4 linked regions of the Schizosaccharomyces pombe genome follow. The gene in region 4 interacts genetically with the main gene of each other region. Each region holds a gene or a part of one and is shown on either strand. Other genes may lie near its edges. The genes, in order: mcl1, sgf73, arp6 and ngg1.

Region 1 (7,993 bases), on a different chromosome or scaffold from region 4:
CAACATCTTCTGTGGCTACTGCGTCTGCAACTGATTCTTCAACATCTTCTGTGGCTACTGCTTCTATAACCGGTTCTTTATCATCTTCTATAGCTACCGCTTCTGTAACCGGTTCTCCAACGTCTTCTGTGACAGCTGTTTCTTCTACATCCTCTGTAGAAGGCACCGCGTCTTCTACAATTGCTGCCGCCGCATCCGCAGCAACATTATCTTCAGATGCAGCATCAGGTTCGTCCACAGTTACTTCTTCCGCTACCGCTTCATCAAGTTCTTCTGCAGCTACAACGGCAGACTCTAGTGTCACAACTGATACCCCAAGCAATGATTTCAATGCAAACGTTGATACAGCTGGACTTTGGTATGTCTCAGCCCTTTCGTCCTATTCAGTCCCTGCAGGATTTGCCTGGACAACTATTGACGGATTTTCGGTTGTTATGCCATCTGCGAACGCCTATAAAAAGCGCAGTCTCCCTATAAAAGCAACTGCCAATCCAGCACTTAATGGAGCTGGAACATGGAAGACAATCCATACTAGTGCAACAACCACTGCCGCTTGAAGGTAAAAAGTCTACATGCGCATTGTTAATAGCTGGTCTATATCATTGCACATATATTTGTTATCTTTGTATTTAATTTATCTCACCTTTCTTTCCGTTTGATGCTCATTCATATGATTTATTTCGTTAAATCAATTACAATATTTAGTCGTTTATTTTTAAGAACTAGCATACTTTATATTTAATGCATTATAGACAATTGAATAAAAATTTTGAAACAAGCAGGTAGAAATAATAAAGCCAACGATCTATTTAAGAAAAGTAAATTTTACATCGATGATTATTTACATAAGTAAAAATGTGTTTAGTTAGGTGAAGCAAAAGAAGTGCCGAAGAAACCATTTTTATAAATTATCCCTAAATACTAATACCATATCATCTAACCGAGAAGCTTGTAAAAGCAGTTTTTCCTCGTAACTATACAACTTTTTTAGCTCAGCTTGCTCAAACTTTTGTAGATATTGTTCCTCGTTGCCTTTAATATCTATTCGTTCTGCCTTCTCAATGAGTTGAGCTCTCTGAGCTCGTGCATCTCGTAATCGCATATATAGTCTGGCAATTACATGATAAAGTTCATCCAAAAGGAGAGAGTACGCCCGATCAGGACGGTGAAACCAAAGAAAAAAAGTCTTGGAAGGGGCCCTGTCGGAACTACGCGGAACCTCTTGTAACTCTAAGGCTCCGATTTCTGCCATAGCTTGAAGAACGGTTCGTAAATCTCTTTGACGAAGGAGAGCAATATTCGCCAACTGCTTTTCCTCAATTTTTCCCTTATCTTTTATGATACGCAGTAAACGAATAGCTCTTTCCCCAAATTTTTGTTCTATAAAATTTTCATATTCTATGGCTCGCAGCATGTCGGTTAAATGGGTAAAATTGACCGCCCATTCACCCATTCCTCGATTGCCTATTTTTGAAATAAATTTTAATGAGCAATCTGCCAAAAGCTCCAGGTGTTGAGCCAGCACCTTGCTCTTGCGATTTGCGTTTTCATCAACACTTTCTTCATAATTATCTTCCTCAGCAAGTTCATCTAGTTCATTCAACTTTTCCATGACACGCAATTCGTTAGAGGCAGAATTTACGCTATACTGTTTATCGACAATCGAACTCTCAACGTCGATATCATTCGGAAAGTTTCTCGTAAGCTCCATTGTCGTGAGTGTAAAGACCGGAGATTGATTGGAAATACTAAATAATCTGGGTTCCAACATAGAAAGAACGTGAGAATAGACAAGCGAAGTTGATTTACCAATTCTTCTTTCCACCCAATGGGTAAGCCTGGCATTTTTTGAGAGGACAGAAAGTTTTCCTGAATTTATGCGAACATGCGCGGATAGATCAGGTACAAGGATGCTATTATCATCGTCTAATATATTATTCAAATCCGTTGATACAGACGGAGCAGAGCCAACAGCACGTTTCCTTCTTTTTGTTGGATGTGGTATTGATTCCTTTGGCTTCCTGGTAAGTCCTTGTAGTTCTGACATATCTGCTGCACGAAGCTCTAACATTTCCAAGGCGACAGAATCATCAACCTCTCTATTTTTTTTTATTTCAGACACGTTTTCTGACTTTCTGCGATCTAAGTGCTTGATCCGGAGTTGCATTTCCTGATCTCCTACTGGTATTAAATGTCTCGGTTGCACTACTAGCAAAAACTTTTGGTAAATCAATTCCGTTAGATTTTTCTGCATCATACGGCTTTCTTCATCACTCCCATCAACCTTTTTATCGAAAGCATTGAATACTTCGAGTACACGTGCACGTCCTTGGGTACTAAGATATTTTACCACAGAGGCAGCCTCCTGGTTTAATTTTTGAGATATCAAATATACATCTTTACCTTTGCGAAGAATGTTATAAATTTCCTTCCATTGGGTCTCATAATATGTGACTTCACGTACATTTTCAATGACCGTAACGTACAAAACCATATGATGCTGCATTAAACTGACAAGTGCTTGTCGAATTTTTGGTCCTGGCAACGAAGTCCGTTTTTGTAGCATGGGAATCGTTAAACGACCATGCCTCAAAAGTGCACTAGCTACTGCCTAAATTGACAATAAATTGGTTAATACAAAAGACTTTGCAACCTCAACTTCAGATTTAGAAATACAATTGAATCCTTACCGAGCAACAATCACCGAAAAATTCCTCTACGAGAATCTCACACAGTTCTACAGCATACTGTGACATGATCAAGCAGATTACCAATCTTGCTTGGAATGGTAAATTGTTTGGCAGACGTAACTACAAAAAAGCAAAGATTTCACAACCTAGAGTATGCCAATAGCCTGTATTTTGTGCGTCGTTAAAGCAGCGTTAACATTTATAGTGTATCACTCTAATACAGAATAAAACTTTAACGATGTGCAAAAACGATTTTCATATTACTTTTTGAAAAAATACATACATATAATTACTGCGAGTATTAAATGAATGATCGAAATCTAATTGTATGATTAATTTATTTAACTTCTTTTTAATTTTCCTGTGAGAGGCTCCACTAGGTTTCTCAATTCCATTTCCATGTCGTTGATTTTTTGTGGTTTAATCAAGCATGACTTATCTGCAGATTCTGTTTTATAGCTTGTCATGGTAAGCATTAATTAAAATACTAAAAGACAATAGCTAATTGCATATTTTTCCTCCATTTAGAATATTGCTGTGCGGCTGTTTGAACATTTATAGCAGACATTTCAAAACTTTTTAACAGAACTGCTCTAATGGAACATCAAATACAACTTCAGAGTAATTAAAAAAAGCTCTGAAATGATTAAAGTTAAATTATTCCTATAGTCTCACATATAAGTTACTTTAGTATTAATTTCTAATTGTTAGCAGATGATTAAAAGCATGGATTGCATATTTTCAATCGTACTTGCATATGAAAATAAATTGTAGACAAACATTTGCAATTTCTCAATAGTGCTTTCGTGGTAGATTTTTTATTTAAATGTTTGTTTACATTAAATAGCGTAACTAGCTAACGAAAGTATCGCTATTGCCATACTAGTCCCAATCTCATATACAAACTCTTCCTCTAGCTATTATGGCAGGGAATAGGCTAGTTCCTAGATATGCCCATACAGATGGACTGACGCGTCTAGCGTATACTCGTGATGGGAAATTTCTTCTTACGGTCGGTTCTAATCAAGTAATCCGAAAATTTCAGGTTGGTTCTGATGAGGAACCCGACTCCATTGATAATCATCAAGATCCTATAACAGGAATTGCAGTTGCTGTAAGTGGTCCTCAAAAAAGTTTGGAGCTAATGACTTTTATATAGGAAAATTATTTTTGTACTTGTTCAGAAGATGCAACTGTCTGCGTATATCCCATCGATTCTCCTACCGAGCATACATTGCTGGCGCGTACTACTCTTCCTATTCGCGATGTGGCATATTCAGTAGATGGAAATTGGATTGCCATAGCTAGTGAGTAAGTTTTTTTTAGTGTATAATGCTCTACTTGGTCGTTTTCAGCCTAACAAATATAGTGAAACAGCAGTGAAAGTGGTTTCGTCCACTGATTCTTCACAAATTTTCTCTCTTCGTCCAGCTAAGGCTTCGAATAAACATGTAACTTATAGCCCGAACGGAAATTTTTTAGCAGTTTCCAGTTGCAATGGAATTTTGTATTTTTATGACACCCAAACTCGTGAACTCATCAAGTTCTTAACAAACACTATTGCCTCTTTAGAGGCAGAATCAGAAATTTGCTCAAAGGCGGCTTGGCATCCTAAAAACGGGACATTTGCAGTTGCGAGTACCGACCATTTTGTATCAGTTATTTCCCCTGATGACTGGCTTCCATTGTACAAACTTCTTCCAAAAGAGAATCATTCTGGTGTAACAGATATCTCCTGGTCCAGTAATGGAATGTACATAGCTGCTTCATTTAAAAAAGGAGGCATTTTAATTTGGGATACACAAAGTCATGAAGTAGTCGTTGAGCTCCCCTATAGTACAGTGGTGGCACTCGCCTGGCAGCCATTTGAAAACGTGTTATCATTTACTACAAATCAGGGAATTTTGTATTCATGTCCGGATGTCATTCCTAAATCAATATTGAAGGAAGAAAATGATCCTACGAAGCCTTTGACTTCGTCAAAAAGTAAAAACCGTACTTCCAAAGAGCTTGATGATCTTTTTGGTTCTGACGATGAGCAAAGTCAGAACGTCAATGATTTGGATGGGAACTCTGCCAACGAGGAAAATGAGTTTATCAATCATGATGGATTGGATTCATCTTTGGACCTAGATGGTGATAGTTATATGGTTGATGAAAACGACTTAAACCTTGCAAAGAAAAGAAAGCAGAAGGCGTTGATCGACAGAACTACAACAATAGAGAATGGTTCTAGTAAAAGACGTTTACTGCAAGCCTCAATACATAAACCCGTTCATACTGGAAGTACACCATGGCAGGGTAATAGAAGATATCTATGTTTGAACTTGGTAGGGTTTATCTGGACTGTACAGCAAGATGCAGAACACAACACTATAACGGTTGAATTTCATGATGAAACTACTCATAGAAAATATCACTTTGTTGATGACCAAAAATTTGAAATGGCATGCTTAGATCATGAAGGTGCTTTGTATGCTTCGCCTGCAACGGAAAGTTCACCTGGTGTTATTTATTATAAAGCACATGTTGATTGGTCGCGTAAATCTGAATGGGCAATGGCTTTACCCATGGAGAATGAAAGTCCTGTGACAATTTCATTAAGCTCAAGCGTTGTACTGGTATGTACGAGTGCTGGATATGTTCGCGTATTCTCAAGACAAGGCTTTCCAATTAGCATTCACAGGAGTAAACACTTGCCATTTGTAGCTTGTTCATCTTTTCAGGATACGATTATAACCATCGCCAACGATGGTTTGAGCTCTGATGGAAATTCTCGTCTTGTTTATTCCATTGAAGACATTTCTCGTGATGAAATGTTGCAAACTGGTGATGGGGTTGCATTACCACCCCAAGGAACGTTAGAGAGTGTTTTCTTTTCGGATGTTGGAGATCCTTACATCTACGATTCAACTGGGGTATTGTTGGTATTAATGCATTGGCGCATACCAGGACAAGCCAAGTGGATCCCTGTTTTAGATACAAATGAATTGGAGCGTCGCAAATCACGGCAAGAGTCTTATTGGCCTGTAACTGTTGCCGATAATCAGTTTCACTGTATATTGCTAAAAGGAGCCTCTCGATATCCCTATTTCCCTCGTCCGATGTTTACAGAATTTGACTTTCGTATTCCTTGTAATACGAACAATCCGGATGCTTCTACATCTGTTCCTGTTTTAGAAGAACTACAACTCCGTAATAAACTATTTTTGACTTTATTGGAAGATAGCATAGGAGATGGCGATGTTACGGAGGACGAAAAAATAAGCATTGCTAGACTAGAAGCTAACATTGACAAAGCCTTGTTGCAACTTATTCAAAAGGCTTGTCTCGAGGAAAGAATCGAACGTGTCTATGAATTGACAAAAACTTTGAGAAGGACAACAAGTATTGCTGCTGCTCAAAAGATTGCGCTCCACCATTCCCTTACAAATGTTGCTGAAAAAATTGGTAATCTACTATCTAACGTCTAAACCCTCACGTCTTAATTTTTATGTAACATTATTTTTTGCATATTAGTAGCTTGAGCTAATCAAAAGGGGTTTGAAGCAAAGCTATGCAGAAGTTTTGTCACGATCTTGCTCCTTTCTAAATTCATTTATATAAGCATCTAGCACTTTGATTTTTTTCTCATTTTTGTATTTAATAAACACATTTCATTTTGTTTACCATATAACCTCTATGTTTATATGTCAGTATATTCGGCATATATTTCGAGTCTATTTAGAAATTGCACAGGGGTACAAAAAATTGATTCATAAGAAAAGGTGGAAACATTTTTTAAAATGACAAAGAGTCACAAAGGAATTTGTATTCTTTTCCTTTCTGAAATGAAATAAAATCTAATGTAGAAACTGCAAAGCTCAGTGCCTTAGGGTGCGTTACAGTTCGTAAAGTTGCAGACACTAAGTGCAGTACAACTTTGTAAAGTGCCAAGCTGCAAACGAAAACACAATTTTAGCATGGAACAAAAAGTGAGTGCGGATGTGTTATTGAATAAATATCAAACATCCATAAGCATCACAAAAAACTTAATCAATTCGTGGTTGGGAAACGAAAATACATCTGTCAGTAGCGATGAAAAAAATGACGATCCACCGTTACAAGCTAGGCCGCCACGGTTAGGGTTGGGTGCTAGTAGAAAAGACCAGTCAGAAAACAGCTGGGTTACTTCCAAAAATGAGAAATTGAAAAGCCTGCCACCGGCATTAAAGAAGAAGATTGAAAGACAGTTGCAGAAGAAGAAGGAAGCTGAAAAAATTGAAGGCGGCAAAAACCACGACAATTTAAAGCGAAAATTGAATAAAGTAGGCGATGAATTGAACGAGCAACAGTCTGATACTGATGATGATGATGATGATTCAAAGGCTCGCATTACTAGCCGATCGAAAAGAGCTAACGCCCAAAGTTCTGGCTTTGATATTTATAAAAAACTTGGGAAGAAAAAAAGGTGAACTTGAAAGAAAAGACATACATAAAATATTTGCATAAAAGGTTTGACTTCTGATTCATTTTGATCAAGAGATTAGCCTCAAGGAAATGGACATCCTATGAACCCATAAATAAGCAGCACTGGAGTATTTATGGCATTGCTATTGGTTGACGTGCATGAAGTTGAATCGAAATTTATTTTTCTGTGAAAAAATTTACGATCCTTAATCACATTTAGTGTTTACATTGGATGGGTCTTAATTTGGGTGCCGTGTTTACCTCTTTTCAATCAGGAGGGTTTTTTTTTTGTTTAGTCGGTATGTTAAGTAAATAAATTTTAGATAGGGACAGTTGGTAATATGAAAAGGCACACCTATTTTTTATGAATCAAGCTCAAGCGATTCAATTTTGTAGTGAAAGACTGACTGCACTATTATAATTTAATAGTGGCATCTAACCAAGGAATGTGAATGCTTTCCTTACCCGCTAGCCACCGAATCCATGAAAGTCGAACCAACCTGTAGCCGGCTTCTTTTAATTCCGTAGGGAATGCTTTTGTGTCGAAAATATTTCGATTGAATGAAAAAAAGGTTGAATCACTCCACAGAGTGCGTGTATTAATCAACAATCCCAGTATAATCATGCAATATGGACTGAAGCCTGTTAGTCAAAATCTCGTATGGAATGGACGGCTTGTTTATCAAACTGGTTGTTGAACTTACCATGGATATTTCCGAGCAATCATGGACAGCATAAAGATCGGATAGAAGAAGTATGGAGCAGCATTAGCTACTAAAAGCATTGGAATAAAATATCGTAAACATAGCATTTTGTACCAAGTTTGGTAAAGCAACAAGTTTTTGAAGGATGTA
Region 2 (6,885 bases), on a different chromosome or scaffold from region 4:
ACTACGAGGGATAAACATACCTTGCCATCAATAACAATACCCAATTCTGCTTTAATACTATCCAAAAGACCAAGTTTGGAAGAAGAATAAACCATTCGATGTTTGACAGTTGCTTGCATTGGACAAATGTATATAAACACTAGACCTTGTTAATAAAATGATCCTGCATCTGTACTTACAAATTTTTGAAGAGCCGTCTTTTGGCAGGGAATAGAAAGCGAAATTAGGTTCGGTGGAAGAAAAGAAGGATTTCACATCAGAAGGAGGTATATTTTGCTTTTCTTGACTTAAACTTATGACTTCTTTGTCAATAGACTTTTAAAGGAGGTTAGCAACACCATACATAGCAAAAGTATCATAGCTTCCTTACCAAAATAACAAGATTGTTTTCTGTAGATGATTTTAAATCAGAAAGAGCCTTTAAGGCTTTATCATCAATCGACATAGCAACACCACGGGTCACCAAAGGACGCTTATGAGTTACTGAGGATTGCATAGACTACATAGTTGTTAAAATAGATGCAAATAAAAGAGTAGAAGCTATAAATTCTACGAGCCACGGTAAAGAAGTATGAAAAATCCATCCACCCCAATACAGTTTACCTACCTCATTGTACTCTTTCCTTTCGAGTTCATCTTGTCGTAAAGGACTTTGGTCCTCTTGCTTGCTTAAGCTCTTCATAATTTGCTGATAATCTAACTCTTCCGGAGTACTTGCGAAATAAGACTCGTCGAGTTTAGCAAGAGTTACGCATCTTACAAATGCAGCACGACTAGAGGCATATAACATCTTCCTGCGAACATTCGCATTTTCAGGGACATAGGAAATTAATTGTAATAGATTTTTCTTGCTATCATCATAAACGAGGACAAATGCAGGTTCTTCAGATCCGAGCAAACATTCACGGACTTTCTTAAAATCAGATTCTATCGATTCTGATTTTTCAACCATTGTTTTCACGTCAAATGAATTCTCTAAATCATTTAGTAACTTCAACTAACTTAAAATTTACTCTTCTAGCCCGAATGGAAACTTACCATTAGAAATGCTAATAATGGCGGCGCGAACCGGTACCGAAGAGTACTCCTCGAGAAATTTACTGAACTTCTCTGTAGCTATCCACACGTTAGAAGAATTTAGCCAAATTTCTTACGTTTTAATTCGACGGAAGCAGACATTGTTATGGGGATTGAAAGGTTTACTGCGTCAGCAATTCCCCATTCTAAGTGAGTTAAATTGAATTATAACGAAATCCAAAGAAATCTATTAAAACATATTAACGATAGCAACAGAGTCTCTAAGAAATATTACAGTACTTAACGAAGCGTGTAATGTACGCTGGTAAAACAGGTGGTAGTGCTAGCCATAGCGAAACGTCGATTGCCTTTACCAAGTGGTCTTTACCGGATTAGTAAACAAAGCCGAAATTTGGAGATTTACTTGGCGTAAATTGACTAAGTTTAAACAATGTACTTGAAGAGAAATATTATAAATATGCAGAGGTCTTTTTCGCGTCAATTTCACATTTCTGTACGAAATTCCATTCAATCCTCTAAACCCTTGTCTAACTCGACTCCTCTAAAAGGTACAGAATTAAAAAATGAAAATGAATTATCTAGGGATATTAAATATAAATAAAAAAATTACCTTTGATGTACATGATTGCTAACATATCTTAGGTTGTTCAGTGGGTACAATTTTAATTAGATCGCCAATTCTTACTCGCCAACCATCCGAATTCGAAAAATCTATATATAAATATAATGCGGAACTTTGGAATGAGCTGAGTGATCCTTTACCTGCAGAATTTTATTTCAAGAAGGGATCGGTGGGTGAAAAAGATTGGCAAGAACGACAAAAAACACTAAAAGGTAAAGAATCACCCTTTGAGACGATATTTGGAAAGGAAAGGAAAGAGATGGAGTCTAACAAATTATTGGATTCTGCAACTCACTTGCAATCCAGAGTCACAGAAGCTGATACGAAAAACGATGAGCGAAGCACTCTTCGCTCGCTTGACAAGTCCCTTTACTTGTTGGTAAAAAAATCTAAAAGCTCGGGTTGGCAATTTCCTAACACTCCTGTTACAAGCTCCGAGAAGGCGCTGCATCTGGTAAGTACATTTTTTAAAATTCGATTCCAAGATACACAATATAGTGCAAGAGACTACTTACTATTGATTTGATGCTAAATAATTTATCAAATACTCTTGCAATTTTTGTTTACATAGTCTGCAGATTGGCCTTTCTAACAAACTGTAGTTATGTCAAGATCTTTTAAAAAATATATTAGACGAAAATTCGTTGACTTGGCTAGTTGCACGTCATCCATTAGCATTACTAAAAACGGAACAAGAAAAGGTAAGACTACGGATTTTTTGTTCTCATTTTATCTGGGTTGATTTTTTGTTTAACCAGTTATTTCTAGACCTTCTTGTTACGTGCTCGTTTATTAAATGGATTAGATGTACCTAACCTGCAAAACGTTTATGACTGGGTTTGGTGTACGTACGATGAACTGAAAAACAAACTTTCTCCTTCTTCATGGGATTCTGTAAAAAACATACTTTCCGATCGTTTGTAATCTTCAATTGAGCAAACAATATGTAAAATCTACGGAAAATAAACAGCGGAACATTTCATCTTGGAAATTCAATCTTTCTACAATCTTACTGCATTTTTCAGCTTAATTTTCACGTTTTCTATTTTTTTCTCTCCTTAATTTTTGATGTTTTGGTACGATGTAAAAAAAAACAAATAATTTTGGAATTTCACTAAGTATTTCTCCTTATTTATTCTATCTTTTTATTTGCAAATGATTCTGCCAGTATTTTATTTTCAGCCGCCTACTTTTGGAGTCCGGATTTCATGATTACTCACCCTCATGATCTGTGGATTCTTGGCAGTGTACGAGAAAACGGGAAAAGCGCGCACCTTAATAATAAACTATGTTTAGCTCAAGGGACCTAAAAAAATAGAATTGTTAATCAAAATTGATATCCGTAGTTTGTCCTCAATTCCAAGATCAAAAATTCTTTTGTCAGTCATAGTCTAGCCCTTAAAGACAATGTCTGTATAATTTAGTAATTATCAGAAATGATATGTGTCAGCATAATCCTTTGAAAGTTCATTAGAATGCAATTATAGACTTTGCTTTCTGGAAGCATTAAACCGTACATACACTTGACTTACAGATTTAGTCCCACTACAAAGGAATTGACAAAGGGCAACTTTGTAGAATTCTGTTTATAAACTCGGTTCTTATCAATAAAATGTTAACAGAACAACAGACTTTGGAGTTATTTCCAGAAAATTGGGAAAGAAATGAGCAAGTTTTGTTGAAATACCCGGATGGGTTACCCAAAGATGTACTCGCTGATCAAAGAGTTGATAATACAGAATCACAGGTAAAGGATGAAATAACTTCTAACATTACGAATCAAACTCAAATTTTACTACCTGCTGATTCCTTTCCTCAGTATGGGTCATATCCTAACAATTCAGAACTCGATTATGTTGTATGCACAAAATGCGACCGACCCTTCCTATCAGAGTATATTGAGGACCATCATAGCTCATGCAATGGAATTAAACCTCCTAAGCCTCAATTTGAGCCTGTTGCGAATTCTCAGGTTTTAAACAAAGATGTCAACAATGGCAATAATGCACCCATCAAAAATGGTGTTAAATCGACAGCTAAGGGCTCAGCTGGGAATCATGAAAAGAATTCAGTTAATGGTCAAAAGAATCCTGAAATGCCTCCAAAACGTCGGAAGACAGAAGAAAACAAAAAGCCTACAAAATCCGCCCTTCCCAAGAAAGAGGCTAGCAAGAAGAAGAATCCAAAGGTCAAAGGTATGTTGGTTTATGCTGTTCAATATGGAGAATGGAGTACCTGTTTACTTTAATACTAACATTCAATTAAGGTCCTGTGGATGTTGAAAAGCAATGCGGTGTTTTGCTTCCTAATGGGCAAATGTGCGCCAGATCTCTCACATGTAAAACGCATTCAATGTCAAGCAAACGAGCCGTTCCGGGAAGATCTCAGCCATACGATGTTTTGCTTGCAGCTTGTCAAAAGAAAAACCAAGTAAAAATACAACGACAAATCCTCGAAACTGCAAAAGAATCCGAAGATAATCAGCATCAAGCGCCTGTTGATTCTGATGAAGAAGTCAGTTTCATTATGAATGTTCTCCAGAAATCTGGCAATCAGCCTTTGGAGCAAAAAGTTTTTTTACCCGTAAAACGTCGCCATTCGTATTTTCGTACTAGAGAGTTAATAGCTGCTGCATTTCGACATGGTGAGCAGGGTATGCAAGTTACTGGTACTATATTGGGACGAGTGATTCCTTTTAGTGCCCGCCAACCACTATAAAGAAATTCTTTTGATTTTGCTTCGGTTGATGATTTAAATTCTTTATGAGATTATAGTTTACATTTTGGTCTACTTGACCACGCATTTTCGACTTTTTAATTTTCTCCTCCGTTCATCTAGTTTCTATTTCATTAATTTTTTCATTTTTTATTTTGTATATTGCACCATACGGTCTTAACATTTGGAATAATCAAGTAGAAGTTAATAAACTATAAAAATACCAATAGAACCCAAAACCAATAATCAATTCTAAAAAAAAGAAAGAAACAAGTATTCTCCAAAAATATATGTACACGTTTGTAGTCTAATTTTTTAAAAGAAACAGCAAAGTTTATGGTATCAGTTTGTTGCAAATCCTCAGTCTCACAATCAATCCTTTAGCCCTCTAAATCATCCTTGTTTTCAGCCGAATCTTCTTCTTCATCGCTAGAAAGAACATCAGGCAATTTTGAGGAAACCTCTTGCGTCTTTTCAGTAATGCCTATATCTGATAAATAACTGAAATCTTCTTCATTATAACTGTCAATAAAAGACAAAAAACAATGAAATCTAAACCGGTTAGTTAATTTAAGAAAAAAATATACTTACACTTGTTTACGAGCTTCTTCGAGAAAAATTTTATCATAAATATGAGCATGCTTAAAAGCAGTAATTTTTTGCTCGTACTTTGTAAAGTCGATAGGATCACGATTATTCTCTGGAGCTTTATGTTCATTATAACCTTTAAAAAACGGTGACTCTAATAAAAGTCCAAAACCAGGTCCCTTGGGTATGTTAATTTTTGTTTTTTTAAAGGCATCTTGTATGCGCTCAACAGGACAACCCGTTCGTACAACTAAAATAGCAAGCGCAATCATCTTTCTAATTTGGTGCAACATAAAAGATTGACCATGAACTTTACATGAAATCCATTCTGTATCGCCAATCATGAATGGATCAGATGCCTAGAATGTTAGAAACAAGACTTGTCAAGAATACTATAAATACAAAGAAGATAATTCTTACTTACAGTAAAAGAACGGATCACGCGATTACTATTCTTCTGATGAAATGCTTGCCCCACAGTAAAATTGTGAAAGTTATGAACTCCAACATATTGGTTTAAAGTTTCTCGAATAACGGACAGCCTATCTGCGGAAATACGGTAATTTTTTAATTTAAGTACTTCAATGTGCTTAAGTGCACGTTCGAGACGATAACTGGGATCAATCTTGGAACCAGCAGATTCGTCTTCAACAGAGTCAGGCTTTAAAAACTCGTTTACAATAGCAGAGGAATCGGAATCCATATCTGGATTAGTTTTAGCGGAAACTCCTGCTTCAGAGCCCTTATTATTTTCCGAATTAGCAAGAGCAGCAGCTCCCCTTTTAGAATATGGATTTACGAAGCCTTCAGGATCCTGTTCATAAAGGCTCAAAATCTCTTTGGCTGCAATATCATAATCATCCCAAAATTCCTTTCCTTCTTCATAAAATAATGAACGACTGAGTTGATTTATATTTTCCTTGTTAATTGGCTCAGCAGGCATGGGAGAATTCTTCATAATGCAATTTCCAAGTATGGACGAAGGTTTCGGTGGAACAAAAGCATACGTTGGAACCATATATTCATATATACGAGATTCGCAATAAGTCCTTGGGTTAAAAGAATTAATAGTACGGATCACATCCCATAAGCGAATGGAAGGAGGGAGGTGTTCGTTCACTTTTTCAATTAACTTCTCATCTTCCATTATAAGTTTGAGACTGATAACATTTCCAGCGGCATGAACTCCTTTATCAGTTCTTGCGGCTCTTGCTAAAGCAACTTTCTTTGGGTCATCAGCGTTATAAGAAGAAACGGCACCAGCCTTCACAAAAGCATCAAAAAGATCTCCTTCGATTGTTTTACTAGGAGGATTCAATTGCATACCATGATATCCGCTACCACAATAACCTACAAGACAGGCGACCTTTCTTTTCGGCTTTTTTTCTCCAACTACCAAATTCTCTGGCCGACCTTCTCCATTGTATATAGAATTAGGTCGGTTCCTTTTCGCTTCTCGACGATCACCATTGTACCAAGTGCGTTTACCACCACGTCCCATGCTGTAGTTAATATTATTTGTTTTTGATGAAAACGCAATTTACGCTGCACAGGTAAAAATTCATTTAAACATAGTAGAGTATATTTTCTTAATAATGAAATGCAAGGAATCGTTATTCATTCAATAAGATAAGAGTATAATTACACGATGGTTCACTAAACAATTATAAAACAATATACTTCGCTTACCTTAAGTTAAAAGTTTTAAGAATTAAAAAGCTAAATATTGTATCGCATTTCGAGCAAAAACAGATTGATGAAGCATTCAAACCAAAAAAAAATAATCAGCCTGAAAAAGGAATGACTTAAGACTGACTATTAATTGTTGCTTATTCTCTGTCTCTGTGTTTTATCTTTTGTTACCAGTTGTCGAAGTAAAGGCCAAATTGAAACCCGTGACTAATCCTTCCAATAACTAAGAA
Region 3 (7,366 bases), on a different chromosome or scaffold from region 4:
TAGCTAACATTATTGAATTTAGCCGTTATTTATTTAAAAAATCGGGTATCTCGTTCTTGGTCTAGTATCGATGATGCTCCATCACCTTTGGATATTCCGGAAGAGCAAAAAGCTTTGTTCAGGCAAAACATTCTTCCGGTGCTCTTGCAAAGCCCAATGTCGACAAGGTCTCATTTGATGGCGATCCTTAATATCATCTTGTCAACCGATTTCCCCGAATATTGGCCCGGATTCAGCGAATACACTTCTAACCTCGTTCACTCAACCGAACGTTGTGAGGTGTATGCTGGTCTTATTTGTTTTCATGAGTTGGCTAAAGTATACCGCTGGCGTTTGGATGACCGTCAACGTGACATTGGTCCGTTAGTCGCAGCACTTTTCCCCACTATTCTTCAACTTGGTCAGGGTCTTATCAATCTTGAAGACAATGATTCAGCCGAAATGCTTCGTCTTATTTTAAAGACATTTAAATCTGTCATTGCCCTTGAGCTTCCTCCGGAGTTACTTGCTAACGATATGATTCTTTCCTGGATCCAGCTTTTATTAGCAGTGGTGCAAAAACCTCTCCCCGAATCTTTGATGTCGCTTGAACCAGAGGTCCGTCAATCTCATGTTTGGCATAAATGTAAAAAATGGGCGTATTATTCTTTGAATAGAATATTCACTAGATATGGAGAGCCTAGCTCTTTGGTGGGTGATTCTGCAAACAAATACCGTGCTTTTGCAAAGAACTTCATTACAAATGTTGTTCCCAACATTCTGGAGACATACATTCAACAAACTATTCTTTGGACTCAAGGTCAGCTCTGGTTATCTCCCCGTGTTTTGTATTTTTTGGGATGCTTCTATGAAGAGTGTGTGAAGCCAAAGTCCACTTGGGCACTCCTCAAGCCTCATCTTCAACTATTGATTGGCAGCTTTGTGTTTCCTCAATTATGTATGAGCGAAGAAGATGAAGAACTTTGGGAACTTGATCCAGTAGAGTTTATTCACAAATATATTGATATCTATGATGATTTCAATTCTGCTGATGTTGCTGCTTCACGGTTCCTTGTGAAATTAGCATCGAAACGCAAGAAATATACGTTCATGGGTATTCTTTCCTTCGCCAGTGACATCCTGAACCAATACGCCGCTTCACCTCCTAATGAAAAAAATCCTCGCCAGAAAGAAGGTGCACTTCGTATGGTTGCTGCTGTATCTAATTCCATCCTTTCTAAGAACTCCCCTGTTGCAGGCATGATGCAAGATTTCCTTGTCGCTCACGTTATGCCCGAATTTACTAGCCCAGTTGGTTATTTACGATCTCGAGCTTGTGAAATGATCAATCGGTTTTCAGAAATTGATTGGAGTGATAAATCGCAGCTTTTGAATGCATACCAGGCAGTTTTGAATTGTCTTCAAGATAACGATTTACCTGTGAGAATTCAAGCTGCTTTAGCTTTGCAACCACTTATGCGTCATCTGGAGGTACACGATGTTATGACCGCCCATGTACCCATCATTATGCAAAATCTCCTATTTCTGGCGAATGAAGTTGATATTGATGCTTTATCTTCTTGTATGGAGGAATTTGTAAGTTCTTTTAGTCACGAGTTAACACCTTTTGCTTCACAATTGGCTAAACAACTTCGCAATACCTTCGTCAAGCTTATGCAAGAAACCATGGACGAATCTACTACCGTAGATGATTTTGACTCCTTAGTTGATGATAAATCGATTGCGGCTATTGGCATTTTAAATACTCTCAGTACAATGATTTTAAGTCTCGAGAACACGGTTGATGTCTTACGTGAAATTGAAGCAATCTTACTTCCAATGATTAATTTTGTATTAGATAACAACATTTTTGACGTGTATGCAGAGTTGTTTGAAATTATCGATGGTTGCACTTTTGCTTCTAAGGAGATATCCCCTATTATGTGGGGCGTGTATGAAAAGCTTCAAAAGGTGTTGAAAGAGTCTGGCATTGAGTTTGTAGAGGAGGCAACTCCTGCCTTAAGTAACTTTATCACGTATGGTGGAAAGGAATTTGCTTCCCGTCCTGATTATATCGCCGTTATGGTTGATATTATCATGCAAGTTTTTAATAGCGAGCACCTGGCCGTCAATGACCGTGTTTCGGCTTGTAAACTAACCGAACTTTTAATGCTTAATTATCGTGGCCTTTTGGATCAATATGTGCCTGCGTTTATTGAGGTTGCTGGTAATCTCTTACTTGTAACTGAAAAGCCAACTTCTCAAACATACCGCGTATTTTTGTTGGAGGTTATAATCAATGCATTATATTATAACCCATCGATGTCTCTTGGGGTACTTGAAATGCATCAGTGGACTTTACCATTCTTTGCGTTATGGTTTGAAAATATACCTTCGTTTACTCGTGTGCATGATAAAAAGTTGAGTTTGGTAGCTATTTTATCGGTAATTTCACTGGGAGCTCAACAAGTTGCTGTTGCTATCCAAGACTCTTGGGGTAATATAATGAAAGTCATGATAACTCTTTTAAATACACTACCTGAAGCATTAGCTGCTCGCGCGGAATTAGAAAAAGAGTATGACGGTGAAACATTTAATTTATCTGGCTCTGGTTGGAATGATGGCATCGATTGGGAAGCCGATGATGATGAGGGTGTCGATGACTTTGCCGTCGAATATGGGGGACCTGATTTGGGTGGAGAAATCTCGGCTGATGTGGTTGACGATTTTGACGAATTTGAGCATTTCCAAGGAAATTACTTGTTGGACGAGGATCCTCTTTTCCATACTTTGTTAGATCAAGTTGATCCATTTTCACTTTTCCAAGAGTTTATGGTTCATTTAAAGGACAACAGCCCTGTCACATTACAAGATCTTGTCAAAAATTTGGAAGCATCCGAGCAGCAATCCTTACAGAGATTGGTAACTGAAAAACCCTCTACCCTTGCTGTCGCTTCCGATAAAACATGAGCCTGTTTGGCGCTCTAAGCCTGTCCAATTTTGGTAATAAAATATAAAAATATAAAACAAGCATTTTCTACACAGTGGTAATAAGCCAAACTGACATATTTGAACGGCTCTTTTTAAATGGGAAATCAAACTCTACGGGTTTGTAAAAATAATTTCTTCAATGAGATACGACCCGGAATTATGGCTTGGGAAAAATGGATGGAGGGTTTGTCTAAAGGGAAGGCTAAGAAAATTATTGTTGTATCGGTTTACAGTTCGGTGAAAACAAACGCAGAGGTGTGTTTCTTTTATAAGAATTTTGGAACGCCAATTGATTAAATGAAATTTAAAATCATAATATACCAGTTAATAAATATGAGAAGTTTTAAAATCGATTAATACTAGTTCATTTGCTTTTACTTTATGCGAATTGACAAACGCAAGTTGATGAGAAAATGAAATAGAAATATATTTTTCTTGAGGAAATAAGCATAAAGTTAAGTATCCACGATTTAGTAGTATAGGGAAAGTCGGTGTTTATGAATGGTATATTAGATGTACGTTGAATTAAGCAGCTAACTAAATTGATAACGGCTAGTTTAGGGGTTGGATAATATGATAAACGGCTTTTACAAACTAAATTTGATAGACAGCCCCCCATTAACGATGTTGTTATATTGATAAAGCTAAGATTTGCAAGATTTATCTTTAAAGTTATTTTAAAAAGATATCCTTCAAATTTATGATATTATTAAAAATATCATAAATATCTTTAAGAGCCAGCGTTATTATACTATTGCTTCAAACTGTAATGATATTGTTGTTATAGCACAACGCTATCATATAACAGCATTCCAAAGCCGTAACAACAGTACATTTAATCGCGGTTTTTGGGTGAAGTTAAGACCTAAGATATAGGAATACATTTTTATTAATAATATGGGACTACCCCCTAAAACTATTGTTTTAGACAATGGGGCATACCATATAAAAGCTGGATTTGCAGGTGGAAAAGTTGTGTAAGAAGAAGTGCATCACGTCAATAAATTTCATGTATCTTTTACTTTTTTCAGCTAACGATAGTTTTTAGTGAAATTCCGAATTGTTTGACGAGATCAAAAGATGGAAACAGATTATTTTTGGGGAATGAATTGGCCAACTGTAACGACTTTACAACTTTACAATTTCGCAGGGCGCATGAAAAGGTACAGCATTTATGAGGGAGTATTATTTACGAACAAAATAAATACAAAGATTATGTTTACTAATACTAGTAGGGGTATTTGGTCCATTGGAGCACAGAAACAGCCGTATGGGACTTGGTAATGCGCAATGTAGGTGTGATGGAACCTAGCATGGCAGACTATTCTTTACTGCTTACACAGCCCGTATTTACAATGCCTTCCATAGAACACAATACTATACAACTCGTGTTTGAGGAATTCCAATTCGATGCTTACCTCCCTTGCACCCCAGCTGAGCTAATTCCTTGGGATCATGGAAGTTTCACAATGAATCAAGAAGATGCGTATACTGGTCAACATGGAGAATGCGTTTTGGTAATTGACTCTGGATATAGCTTTACACACATAATTCCTGTGATTGATTTCTCTGTTCAAGAACAAGCGGTAAAGCGAGTTGATGTGGGAGGGAAATTACTTACGAATTATTTAAAAGAAGTCATCTCATACCGGAAGTACAATATGATGGAAGAAACATACATTGTTAATGAAATTAAAGAGTCCGTTTGTTATGTGTCTCAAAACTTCAAGGAGGACATGGAGATATGTCACGAAAAACCACGGTCAAAATTGGAAATTTGTTATGCTTTGCCCGATTACAGCACTGGAAAACATGGATATATTGTTAGAGATATTAATCAAAAAATAGAGCAACAAGTTTTGAATCTTTCAAATGAGAGATTCATGATACCAGAATTATTATTTTCCCCATCTGATATCGAAATACGTGAGGCTGGGATTCCAGAGGCGGTCATGCAAAGTGTCACCCACTTTCCTGAAAATATACAGGCAATGTTGCTTGAAAATGTTGTTACAATAGGAGGAAACTGTAAATTTCCCGGATTTCATAAAAGACTATCATCTGAATTACGGTCGCTGGCACCAGCTAATTGGGAAGTTAAAGTTTTTGAACCTTCAGATCCTATTTGCTTTCCATGGAAAAAGGCATCTCATATGCCGTTGGAGCACTGGAATGCGAATAAAATAACTCGTTCTGAGTACTCAGAACATGGAGCAAACATAATGACACGAAAAAGGAGAATATAATAGATCACCATTTTAAAACTCAATAATGTGGGTTAAATTTCTATCTTCACAAAATTCTCAAGGCGAGCTGATAATTCGCATCTTAAGAAATTGGTTTATTACATTAAGGCTACAGCAATATAAAACGAAAAATATGCATGCATTAAGAATAAAATCTTTTTATATTAATTAACGAATCATTCTATCTCTTGATCAACCACTAAAACAACAGCTAAATAACTATATCTTTATTATTGTCGCCAGGATAATTCATACCTAAAAAGCGTTAGCGAAATGAAAGATATTATAAAAAAGATAGGAATGAAAATCAGTATACAAGTATAAAAATTTAACCACATAGTTGTGTCTTCAAGACTAATCGATTTGTAAAGCATCATATGTAACATTCTATCTCTTCAAGTGTTTATACTTACATATTATTAATGTGCCTGAAAAACAAGATTGAAAAAAAAGAAAAATTTCAGCACTTCTTCACTACTGTTTCAAGTGCATTTTATATGTACAGTGCAGTTTCAGGTTGACAGTATAAGAGTTAAAGCAACCTTGAGTTAGAGCAGTCACGGTATACTACTTTAATTAGAATGTAGCGCGTTGCGTTGCAATGTAGTCGTGTCGCGTCTGTTTACATTTTGGATAGAAAGAGCTTTTCGTGAAATTTTGTTGCTTCTGTTGGATAAATTGTTCTTTTTCTCAAGTTAATCATATAATTCAGTAAAGGAAAACTGTGTAATAAGAAGAATCGAGATCCCAAATTATTTCTGTTGAGCCTTGTTCATGGGCTACATATATTTTCCCTCACATTTTCAACAGTAAAGCCTTAAATATAAAAGTAAAAGTTGATTAAATGATATAAATTTACTTTAATAATATAAATATGTACAGATATTTTATATTTTCTTCATAGATGTTACCCAATTGAATCGTTACTTTAAGCTGTAAAAGTTGGCCAAATTGCAGTAATCTCGAGTTGACCACCACCAAACACTAATATTGTCTTTTGCGAAAGTAAACAAAGAGAATTAATCCCAAGCTAGGCTCTCATTAAGAGGAAAAATCAAATACACTAATTTAGTAAGGTGGCTGTACCACATGAACCTAGGAAGATGTCCTCTAGCTCCTCGATCTGCGAATATAGTACTCCCGAAACATGATGCCGTATCCAAACAAAAGGAATATCGAATTGAGGAAAAGACAAACGAAGCACAAAGGGAGGAAATTATAACTTGGAAAGACAACAGGGAAGATGAAGGAGAAGTGAAAACCGATTTTGAGGTTGTTAATAACGAAAATATTATCACAACCACCCCTAAACATCAAACTGTTATTACCCCTAAATCATATCGCAAGTCCGTAAAACGGATTAAACATGATGCTCCTCAAAATGAGGATATTCCTGTCATGAAGGGGCTGGCCCCCATTAATGCTGATACTGAGTCGAAGGCGGAATCCATGGCAGCTGGGAAAGTTTTGGGATCTAAGAATTCCTCTCAAAAGGCTCGGTTACAGGAATGGAAAAGACAGTACAAGAAGGCATTTCCTCATTTCCGTTTTTATTTGGATGGATGCGACCCAAGTGTTGCTCATCGAGTGAAAAAACAAATTCAGCAATTGGGTGGACATGTTGAGACGTTCTTCTCAGGAAATGTTACTCATGTTGCAACAGTTCGGGCTATCCAAGATGTTTCGGTTAAGTATGCTAAACAGGATGTAATCACTAAGGCTAGGCAACTGAACATGAAGATTTGGTCTATGGAAAAGCTTTGCAACCGCGTGTTAAAAACTTTAATGGAGAATGATCAATGCACAACCAACGCACCCACCAAACAGGGGAATGACTTGAGTTATTTGCTTTACGTAGAAAAGGTGCAAGGAACGAACGAACGCGATTTATCTGTTCCTAGACAGGACTTTGTGCATTTTCGTGGACCCTACCTTTACGTGCATGACATAGCTAACATTTACAAACCTATACTCTTACGTGAATGGCAAAAACCGCTTCCCGACAGGGACGTTCCTTGGCCGACCTTTCGTGCTACTAGTATTGGCCGGTGTCCATTTGTACCTGAAACAAAGTATCGTCTCAGTACTTCCAAGTCCTTGGTTGCTAAAAATGACCAGCAATTATTGCAACGACAGAGTCAAGAACCATC
Region 4 (7,419 bases):
CTTCAGAAGGAGAATCTGGAATTCCAGAATTTACTAAACGAATAGCTGCAAGATAATGTTTGACTGCTAATTTTATATCCTTCAACTTACCAGGAGTTCCGTACTGGTAAATCGTAGCAAGGCTTATATGGGCCGATATATTATTTCCACGTAAAGCGTAGTCCTTTAAGTATTCAACGATGTCATCTTTTTTCTGAACACTATAGCTTGAAGTACGTGATAAATCATATAGGTCAACCGGATATTCTGCTGCTATATCAGGAGCAAAATGAGACAAGGGTTGAACTAAGCATGATATTTGATGAGCTACTTGTTTATAAAGCTCAACCCCCTTATCCACAGACATCGGTGTAGAAAGTCCATTAAGGTGCTTATATGCAAGGGCAAGTAAAGCATACGTATAATTTTGGGTGGCCGATAGTTCAAGGAATATTCGAGACAACGGTTCGTTTCGAGGAAACGATAAACCTAAGCGTTCGTCAGGCCCCATGGCGTACAGCATGGCAATTAAAAATTGTGATTCCGGATCTCCTTTTTCAGCTTCTTCATATACGTATCCGGGATCTTTAACGAGTTTCGGAAATGTTAAAGTAACTAAATCAGGAAGCGTTTTAATAGACGCTGATACATTAAACCTCGACCCTTCAGGATACGAAGCCACGAGAATTGGCTTCTTATCAATGTTGTCATAAGAAAATTCACCACCAATTACCGTAAACACGCATCTTTTAAAAATAAAGAACAGACATATAAGGAAGTTAAGCAACTGCATCAAGAATATTACTGAAAGTGTGCCTCTTGTCCGTCCTCCCTCCTAAAAAGAACCGTTCAATTTCCAAAGTGGTGAGTTTATATATCATCGGTGACTCTGTTACCTGAATGGAGGGCTTAAAGAAATAGCGCTGGAAGCTGAATAAGTGCAAAGTTGTTTGAATAACAATAAGCTTGTAAATAGAAGACTGTAAATACATTTACATGGTGTCAGAAATATTCATCCTTCCAATTGTTGTCTGTTGTCTTTTAACCTAAATTTCCAAAATTATCATTTTTTTCTAGCAAAGTTAAAAGAAAATACCTTTTCGGTACTCGTATCTTTATCATAACCTCAAATAAATCATTCAGGATCGCTTTCTCGATAATGATAATACACACCATATTGTAATATAATTTATAATATTACCAGGCGAAGAGTAATAATCGCAAATAGTAATGATATTTCGTGATATCGTCTTATTGTCGTAAAACTCGTATCAAATACCGAATATACAGGTTATTTAAATCTTTCATTCTCAAGCCGATTTTATTTGAGCTAAATATTATGTTAGTATTGTTGCTTTACCAAGCACCTTTACTTAAAACAAATCATTTTACTTTAAATTTACAAAATGAAATTAGTTATAGAAAATAAGCTAAATTATCACGTTAGTTTTATGAAAACTTGTGCAGTTAAAAGATATCACTTAATATTGCCAATTTCGGTATTCACAAACTTGAAAAGTCTACAGTAAAAAATTGAATTTTCCACTTTACTAGACATTTAACAGCAACGCAGAGTGATTGATAGCGGCGCATTGTTACTAGAAGTAAGACATGTACTTGATTTTTTATTTACTCGCCTATAATTGTTGTAGTATATTTCTTCGCGTTAGAGAATGTATCGCTTCCTTGTATCTCCTTATTTGAGGCGGCGGTCCACCTACCGCTATTTCTAAGTATCCTTTTACGAACTACGCATCCAACTGCACCACAATGTCCAATTCGATCGTCGTAAGTTAGTATTGTTTTAAGTGTTATTCTAATGTTTTTATCAAGGGTGAGGTCTATCACCACGTGATATTAGACGTGATTGCTAATTCACGGAGCGATTTTGAAGAAAATGGTGTTGATGATGCAACTTTACGAGAATTACAAAATGTACGGTTTTATGAAGTTTAGGTCTTTTTCTAATAAAACAGTTATGGCAAAGCAAGTTAGTTGCTACCGATGTTGCAACTTTTCCTTGGGCACAAGCTCCTGTTGGCACATTTCCCATTGGTCAATTGTTTGATCCAGTTAGCGGCTTGAGGACAGATTCATTAGATGTTACTGCTCCAGCTGTTGCAAACTCTCCCATACTTAATAATATAGCCGCTATTCGTGCTGTTCAGCAGATGGATACATTTGCGCAGCAACATGGTAATTCAAATTATTATTCTCCACCTACTCCCTCTCTCCCCCAGTCAGCAACAAATATTTCGTTTGACAGCTCTGCAATACCTAACGTACAGTCCAACCCTAATAATACTGCCCCCTTCCCTTCTTACAGCTCTAACTCATTGCAACTGCCCACTAATCAAACTGCTGACTCACCGATTATCAACGACCATTCGACTGCAAATGTAACTTCTACGGGCCAAGAACATGCTCCCGACTCTTCATCTACTAACTCATTTGGCGGATTGTTACTTCCCAATCAAAACTCTCCGAAAAAGTCTGAATTAGGAGAGACAGAGTCTTCTAATACCACCCCTGCTAATTCTCGTAATGACGTGCCTCAAACCGATGGTGCTATTCATGATCTAGATGATGCTGGGAGCCCTTCTAATTTTGAAAGTAATAGATTTGCTATTGCACAGAAAGCTGATGCTGAAATTTATGAAGTTTTGAAAAAGAATCGCATTTTGCAAATTGACGGCACTATAGAAGATAACGAAGATGAAAAAAAGCCACCTGTTGATACGCCTTCTGACGAAGCAATTAACTCAGATTTAGACGATCCTGATTCAGATGAGGCTCCCGAAACTGAAGAAGGTTCTGATATTGGACAGGCTATCGTTCTTTGTCTTTATGACAAAGTGAACCACCACAAAAATAAATGGAAATGTGTGTTCAGAGATGGCGTAGTTGGCGTTAATGGAAAAGATTACTTATTTTTCAAGGCGAATGGTGAGTTTGAATGGATTTAAAATTTTACTTTAGGTGTTTTGCTTCAAAAAGTGATGGACGTATTTTATCTATCAATCATTCTTCTTTTTGGCCTTTTTGTTTTCTTCATGAATCATGTTTATAAGTGCATTTAAGTAATCTTCCTATCATATTTTAGTGAGCACATCAATCTATTCTACGGTTAAAAGTATTATTATTATTTCATGCAAATTTTATTCACTAAAGCAAGCAATTAAATTAGATCACAATGATAGAATTACAGTATATACACTTTCAAATTTTAAACGCTTCATACAGATGTACTGTAATTAGATGTAGTGTGGTCCGATAAATCATTAAAAATAGAAGTTGGCGAACCAAGGTGTTGCGTAAGCTTATCCTGAAATAAAGGTTGAAGCTTTTCTAACCACATTGAGCGCTTGTCCATCAATGATTTGATGACAGGAAAAGAGCCGCTCGTAGCTGAAGAGCCAATTTTATCAGTAACAATACGTTTCTTTTTAACCTTCAAACTTCTGTTACGTTTGACATACGCTTGTTCGATTTGTTTATCTAGATCATCCATCACATTTTGGAATTCTTGAAATGCCATTTCCTCAGGAAGCATCTGTAACAGCGCATTCCTCATTTTTTCGTTTTCATCAGAAACTACCTTCAAACGAGCATTCAAACTCCTTAAGGTAGCTGAAATTTCATCATCCTGTCGCTTTGACCAATCTACATCGCCATCATAAAGTATACCTAGTTGTTTTAGGGTGTAACGAAGGCGGTCCTCACAAATTGAAAGACTCGACTCTTGTATATCCGGTTGTTCTGTATATTCATTATTTCCTGACTCGATTCCATCAATGCTTGTACCAATTTTGCTTTTCTCGGATCCAGAATCGGTTTCCGCAAATTCGCCAACAGCAATAGAAGGTTTTTGCTCCTCATCATTCTGCGTGTAGCAAGGAATTAATGAAGCCATTAGTCGTTCAGTGAGTGGACCACACCTAACTTCCTCAGAGACGGTATCTGCCTCATTAAAAGCTTCAAGGGATCCTTGAGCAGAGGTTTGCAGGTTTTGGTAAATTGAGTTAGCACACAGGTTGGTCATTTCATCTTCCGGAGTTAAATCGTAATAGCGTTCCCCCAAAGGAGGAATATTATAGGAAGACGAAACGTCAAATCCTTTTTTTAAAAAAGCAATATCATCATCATTGAAAGCACGAAAATATGGGTCAAGTGACGAATAAAAGGTTGATATTGAAATCTGGTTATTTGGCTTGTTGTGAGAAAAATCATCAGTCGCCGGAGTTCCTGCCACCAACGATCGTACATCACTGGTTGGAAAGGAATCTACACATAAAAGCTTCTTTTTTTGTTCATAAGAGAAGGAATCGTCAACAATGAAAGATAGTAATGAACCGGTTAGAAGATCGTTTGCGTTTTTATATACCAACCCAGTTGTCTGTTCATCTTTACCCTTAACCGGTAAATCTAATTCATTCTCAATTGTTTCCACATTTTCGGGACTGATTTCTTCATTATGGGCCTCTGAAACTTTGGGCTTCTTGGAAACTTTTTCTAGCATAGACTCTTGTGGACTTTCGGAAAGAGAACGCTTTTGCTTTATTTCTTGTTCAACGTTGTCTTCTTTAAATTCTTCTACTTTTTCTTCCACTTTATTAACCGACGATTCGTCTTTTGAGGTTTCTATTTCAGAATCGACATGAGACTCTAACTCTTCTTTGCGCTGGCGAAAATATTCTACACAAGACGGTTCACACTCAATCATTTTTTGCAGCTCAAACAGAAGCCGCCATAATGTCGACACAGACGGTACAACACCAGGAGTTGACGTTTCACTCAGACGGGAAAAGGTCTCGTATTGATTTTCAATTTTAAAACATTGAGGAATCACCGCGGGTTTCGAATCAGCTTCATTTTGTTGTTCGGAGGACATCCCAAAAAAATTTAAATCGTGAACAATACAACATTTACATATGTCTCTCTCCCCCGAAAAAATTCATTACTGAGGTGGTGATTTTTTATACCGGATTTCGATGATGGCGTACTTTTAGCGAAGTCTAGTATACCACTTGTTACATTGTTATAACGGTGCTCAGAAATATTAATCAAGAACAGCGTTGAATTGCTACGAATATGATATCTCAAACCAAATTAAACAGCAATATATTTTATTCATAGTGAATCCATCGCAAAAGCAATATGCTTTGCGAAGTATTTTGAACACTATAAGTGATCTTTGGTTTGTTTAAAATTAAATTTATCTTAAATTTAATAGTTTCTAAACCAATTGGTCTAGCGCAAGAACTAGATAAACAGAGTTGCAGCTTCACAAGATATCATGAAATAGATCTACGAGTCAATGGAATAGGATTTGTTTATACTTAATTAAGAGGTAAATATTTACAAGAAAATGTTTTATCATTTTTTTTTTTTAAATTTTGGATGTTTTTATTGCTATTCTTTCCATTTATGGGACATTATTTGACTGTAAGTCTCAGCAAATTTAGTGGATTGAGATTAGAAAAAGAAAAAAAAAAAAAAAAAAAAAAAAAATTTTTCTCGGTTGTAGATTTTCTCATATTTTCCTATTATATATTTAATTTACTACAATTGTCTTTTGTAATTTTCATTATATCACTCAACAGAATCACATGAAGAAATATCTCACTGAACCATCGTAATTTCAACAATAACAATTGTCACATATATTAAATAACTATAAACTGTAATAATAATAAAATGTGAAGAAAGCTCAACCGAACTGGTGGGTTTAACTGAAGCAATTTCATCTGCTTCGCATTTCCAGCATTAACCAACCACCCACCGTCATAACCGCTAAGATTTAAATTCCCGCCATCACCCCGGTAGGTCAGCCACCATTTCCTGTATTTGCCATCGTATTGAAGCTTTAGTTGTATTAGAAACTTTGAATATTTTTTAAGTAGTACGATGGCTCAAAACTCAACCCAACTGGAAAAGGTATGTGATATTTTAAAGAGTTTTGGTGTTTTGAACCAACATAATGTTTTATGATTCAAAAAATTGATTTAAATCAAGTATTTACTAAAAATAATCTTTTTTAATTGGTTGAAAAGTTTGATGATTAAATGCAAAATTTTCTTTAGTTATCCGCTTGGTTTTTGGTTTTTATCTAACAAATTGCCGTCTTAGATTTCTGGTTCTTTCACAAGGTTGGCGGAAGCTTTTCAGTTAGCTTTAACCGCATGCCGTGAGATCGAAGAATCACTTCCTTCGATATTAGGAGAGAAGTCCGAGGTTTCGAAACCTTTTAAGCCAGCCGTCACTGATCCATCAAATGCGAAGAAAGAGATTAATATGGCAATTGAGTCTCCTTCTAAAAAAGCAACTTCACCTAAGAAAGCTACTCCTGCAGCAGTAGCTCCTGTTGAGGCAACCTCCGCAGTCGATACGTCGGAAGCTGTAGCCTCCATGACCCCAAACAAGCGCAAGGCTAGGGATCCTGCACAACCAAAGCGCCCTCCATCAGCCTATAATCTCTTTCAGAAGAACCAACGATCGGAAATCAAGGAGTCTTTGGGCGAGAAGAGTAACGATGTTAAAGAGGTGAATAAAGCGATGCATGAAAAGTGGGGCTCGCTATCTGAAGATGATCGGAAAACTTACGAAGAAGAAGCTTCTAAACTTCGAGAAGCCTACGAAGAAGAAATGGCTGCTTATAATGCTTCTAAAGAAAATGCGTCAGTTGCTGATAGTCGAGTTACGGCTGAGGAAACTTCTACTAAACCTTCAGAAGACTTATCCTCTCCCACTAAAAAAGATTTGATAGACTTTTCAGAAACCAGACCATTGGCTCAAGCTTCTAGAGCCACTCCTGACATTAAAGAACAGCATGCTAAGAAACCGAAGCGAAAGCACACCCGTTCAACAGTACCTACAAGCAATGTTGAACCAGTTTCTCAACCTCAACCCTCTCCTGACAAAATCGTTTCTAGCCCCAATCCGCCATCAGCGAAAAGGGAAAAAAAGAAACGTCGCAAAAGCTCGATGTCTTCTTCCATTACCACTCCCCCTACCGCCAAAGTTGCTAATTGAGTTTGCTTGATAATTTCATTAATTGTGTATTTCCTTGTTCCGAACATTAAAGTTATAGGAAATGATTAATTAGCAACAAGTGTTTGCTTGTATTGCTGATTTGAGTGCTCTCTATTATTACTCAGGTTGCTAATGTCTGTAAATATTGCTTGTTAAAAATACTGGTTGTTATATAATACATAATAATCGTTTTTGGTCACAGCAGTTGTATATAAACGTTTAACGGCAGGCACATAATATCTATATTGGTTGAAATCTATTATAGCCTTAGAATAAATAATTAGCTAACAGGTAATTTTTGTTTAAGTTTACATTCTTCCAATGATCTTTCTGCTGTATACAGGAATAAATTTATCTTCGCCATAAAAAGTATCTTAATGATTTTGAGAACTTTTAATTTATTGTTAT

The links.
Region 1: mutations in ngg1 (region 4) and mcl1 together harm fitness more than expected from each alone (negative genetic interaction), as found in Schizosaccharomyces pombe (2 studies listed by BioGRID).
Region 2: mutations in ngg1 (region 4) and sgf73 together harm fitness more than expected from each alone (negative genetic interaction), as found in Schizosaccharomyces pombe (3 studies listed by BioGRID, with this or other methods).
Region 3: mutations in ngg1 (region 4) and arp6 together harm fitness less than expected from each alone (positive genetic interaction), as found in Schizosaccharomyces pombe (2 studies listed by BioGRID).

Annotation. Positions count from the first base shown.
Region 1 is NC_003424.3:3,281,365-3,289,357, reverse strand, and holds mcl1 (DNA polymerase alpha accessory factor Mcl1), read left to right. Parts: upstream 1-3,605; 5' UTR 3,606-3,612; coding exon 3,613-3,804; exon of another isoform or gene 3,805-3,849; coding exon 3,850-4,001; exon of another isoform or gene 4,002-4,059; coding exon 4,060-6,163; 3' UTR 6,164-6,354; downstream 6,355-7,993. Other genes in the region: cts2 (chitinase), read left to right, coding at 1-557; DNA-directed RNA polymerase III complex subunit Rpc82, read right to left, coding at 902-2,611, 2,691-2,756; SPOM_SPAPB1E7.01C (uncharacterized protein), read left to right, coding at 6,653-7,144; SPOM_SPAC652.01 (BC10 family protein ), read right to left, coding at 7,555-7,774, 7,844-7,950. UniProt on the Schizosaccharomyces pombe protein: Has a role in regulating DNA replication complexes. Acts as a regulator of post DNA replication initiation. Associates with chromatin during G1 and S phases of mitosis. Required for the transcriptional repression of the outer repeats of the centromeric region.
Region 2 is NC_003421.2:2,120,244-2,127,128, reverse strand, and holds sgf73 (SAGA complex deubiquitinating submodule subunit Sgf73), read left to right. Parts: upstream 1-3,198; 5' UTR 3,199-3,272; coding exon 3,273-3,855; intron 3,856-3,926; coding exon 3,927-4,378; 3' UTR 4,379-4,619; downstream 4,620-6,885. Other genes in the region: twf1 (twinfilin), read right to left, coding at 21-139, 180-315, 371-499, 608-975, 1,039-1,116, 1,155-1,179; mrpl17 (mitochondrial 54S ribosomal protein mL46), read left to right, coding at 1,469-1,586, 1,681-2,114, 2,263-2,361, 2,429-2,584; pus1 (tRNA/U2 snRNA pseudouridine synthase Lsp1), read right to left, coding at 4,756-4,927, 4,967-5,322, 5,388-6,464. UniProt on the Schizosaccharomyces pombe protein: Component of the transcription coactivator SAGA complex. SAGA acts as a general cofactor required for essentially all RNA polymerase II transcription. At the promoters, SAGA is required for transcription pre-initiation complex (PIC) recruitment.
Region 3 is NC_003421.2:1,208,141-1,215,506, forward strand, and holds arp6 (Swr1 actin-like protein Arp6), read left to right. Parts: upstream 1-3,798; 5' UTR 3,799-3,867; coding exon 3,868-3,947; exon of another isoform or gene 3,948-4,018; coding exon 4,019-4,133; exon of another isoform or gene 4,134-4,205; coding exon 4,206-5,216; 3' UTR 5,217-5,519; downstream 5,520-7,366. Other genes in the region: nmd5 (karyopherin), read left to right, coding at 23-2,949; Hsk1-Dfp1 kinase complex regulatory subunit Dfp1, read left to right, coding at 6,306-7,366.
Region 4 is NC_003423.3:1,583,473-1,590,891, forward strand, and holds ngg1 (SAGA complex subunit Ngg1/Ada3), read right to left. Parts: upstream 4,927-7,419; 5' UTR 4,871-4,926; coding exon 3,215-4,870; 3' UTR 3,120-3,214; downstream 1-3,119. Other genes in the region: hrd3 (HRD ubiquitin ligase complex subunit), read right to left, coding at 1-772; transcription factor TFIIA complex large subunit Toa1, read left to right, coding at 1,750-1,767, 1,813-1,914, 1,956-2,945; upstream binding transcription factor, RNA polymerase I specific, Hmo1, read left to right, coding at 5,887-5,916, 6,109-7,011. UniProt on the Schizosaccharomyces pombe protein: Component of the transcription coactivator SAGA complex. SAGA acts as a general cofactor required for essentially all RNA polymerase II transcription. At the promoters, SAGA is required for transcription pre-initiation complex (PIC) recruitment.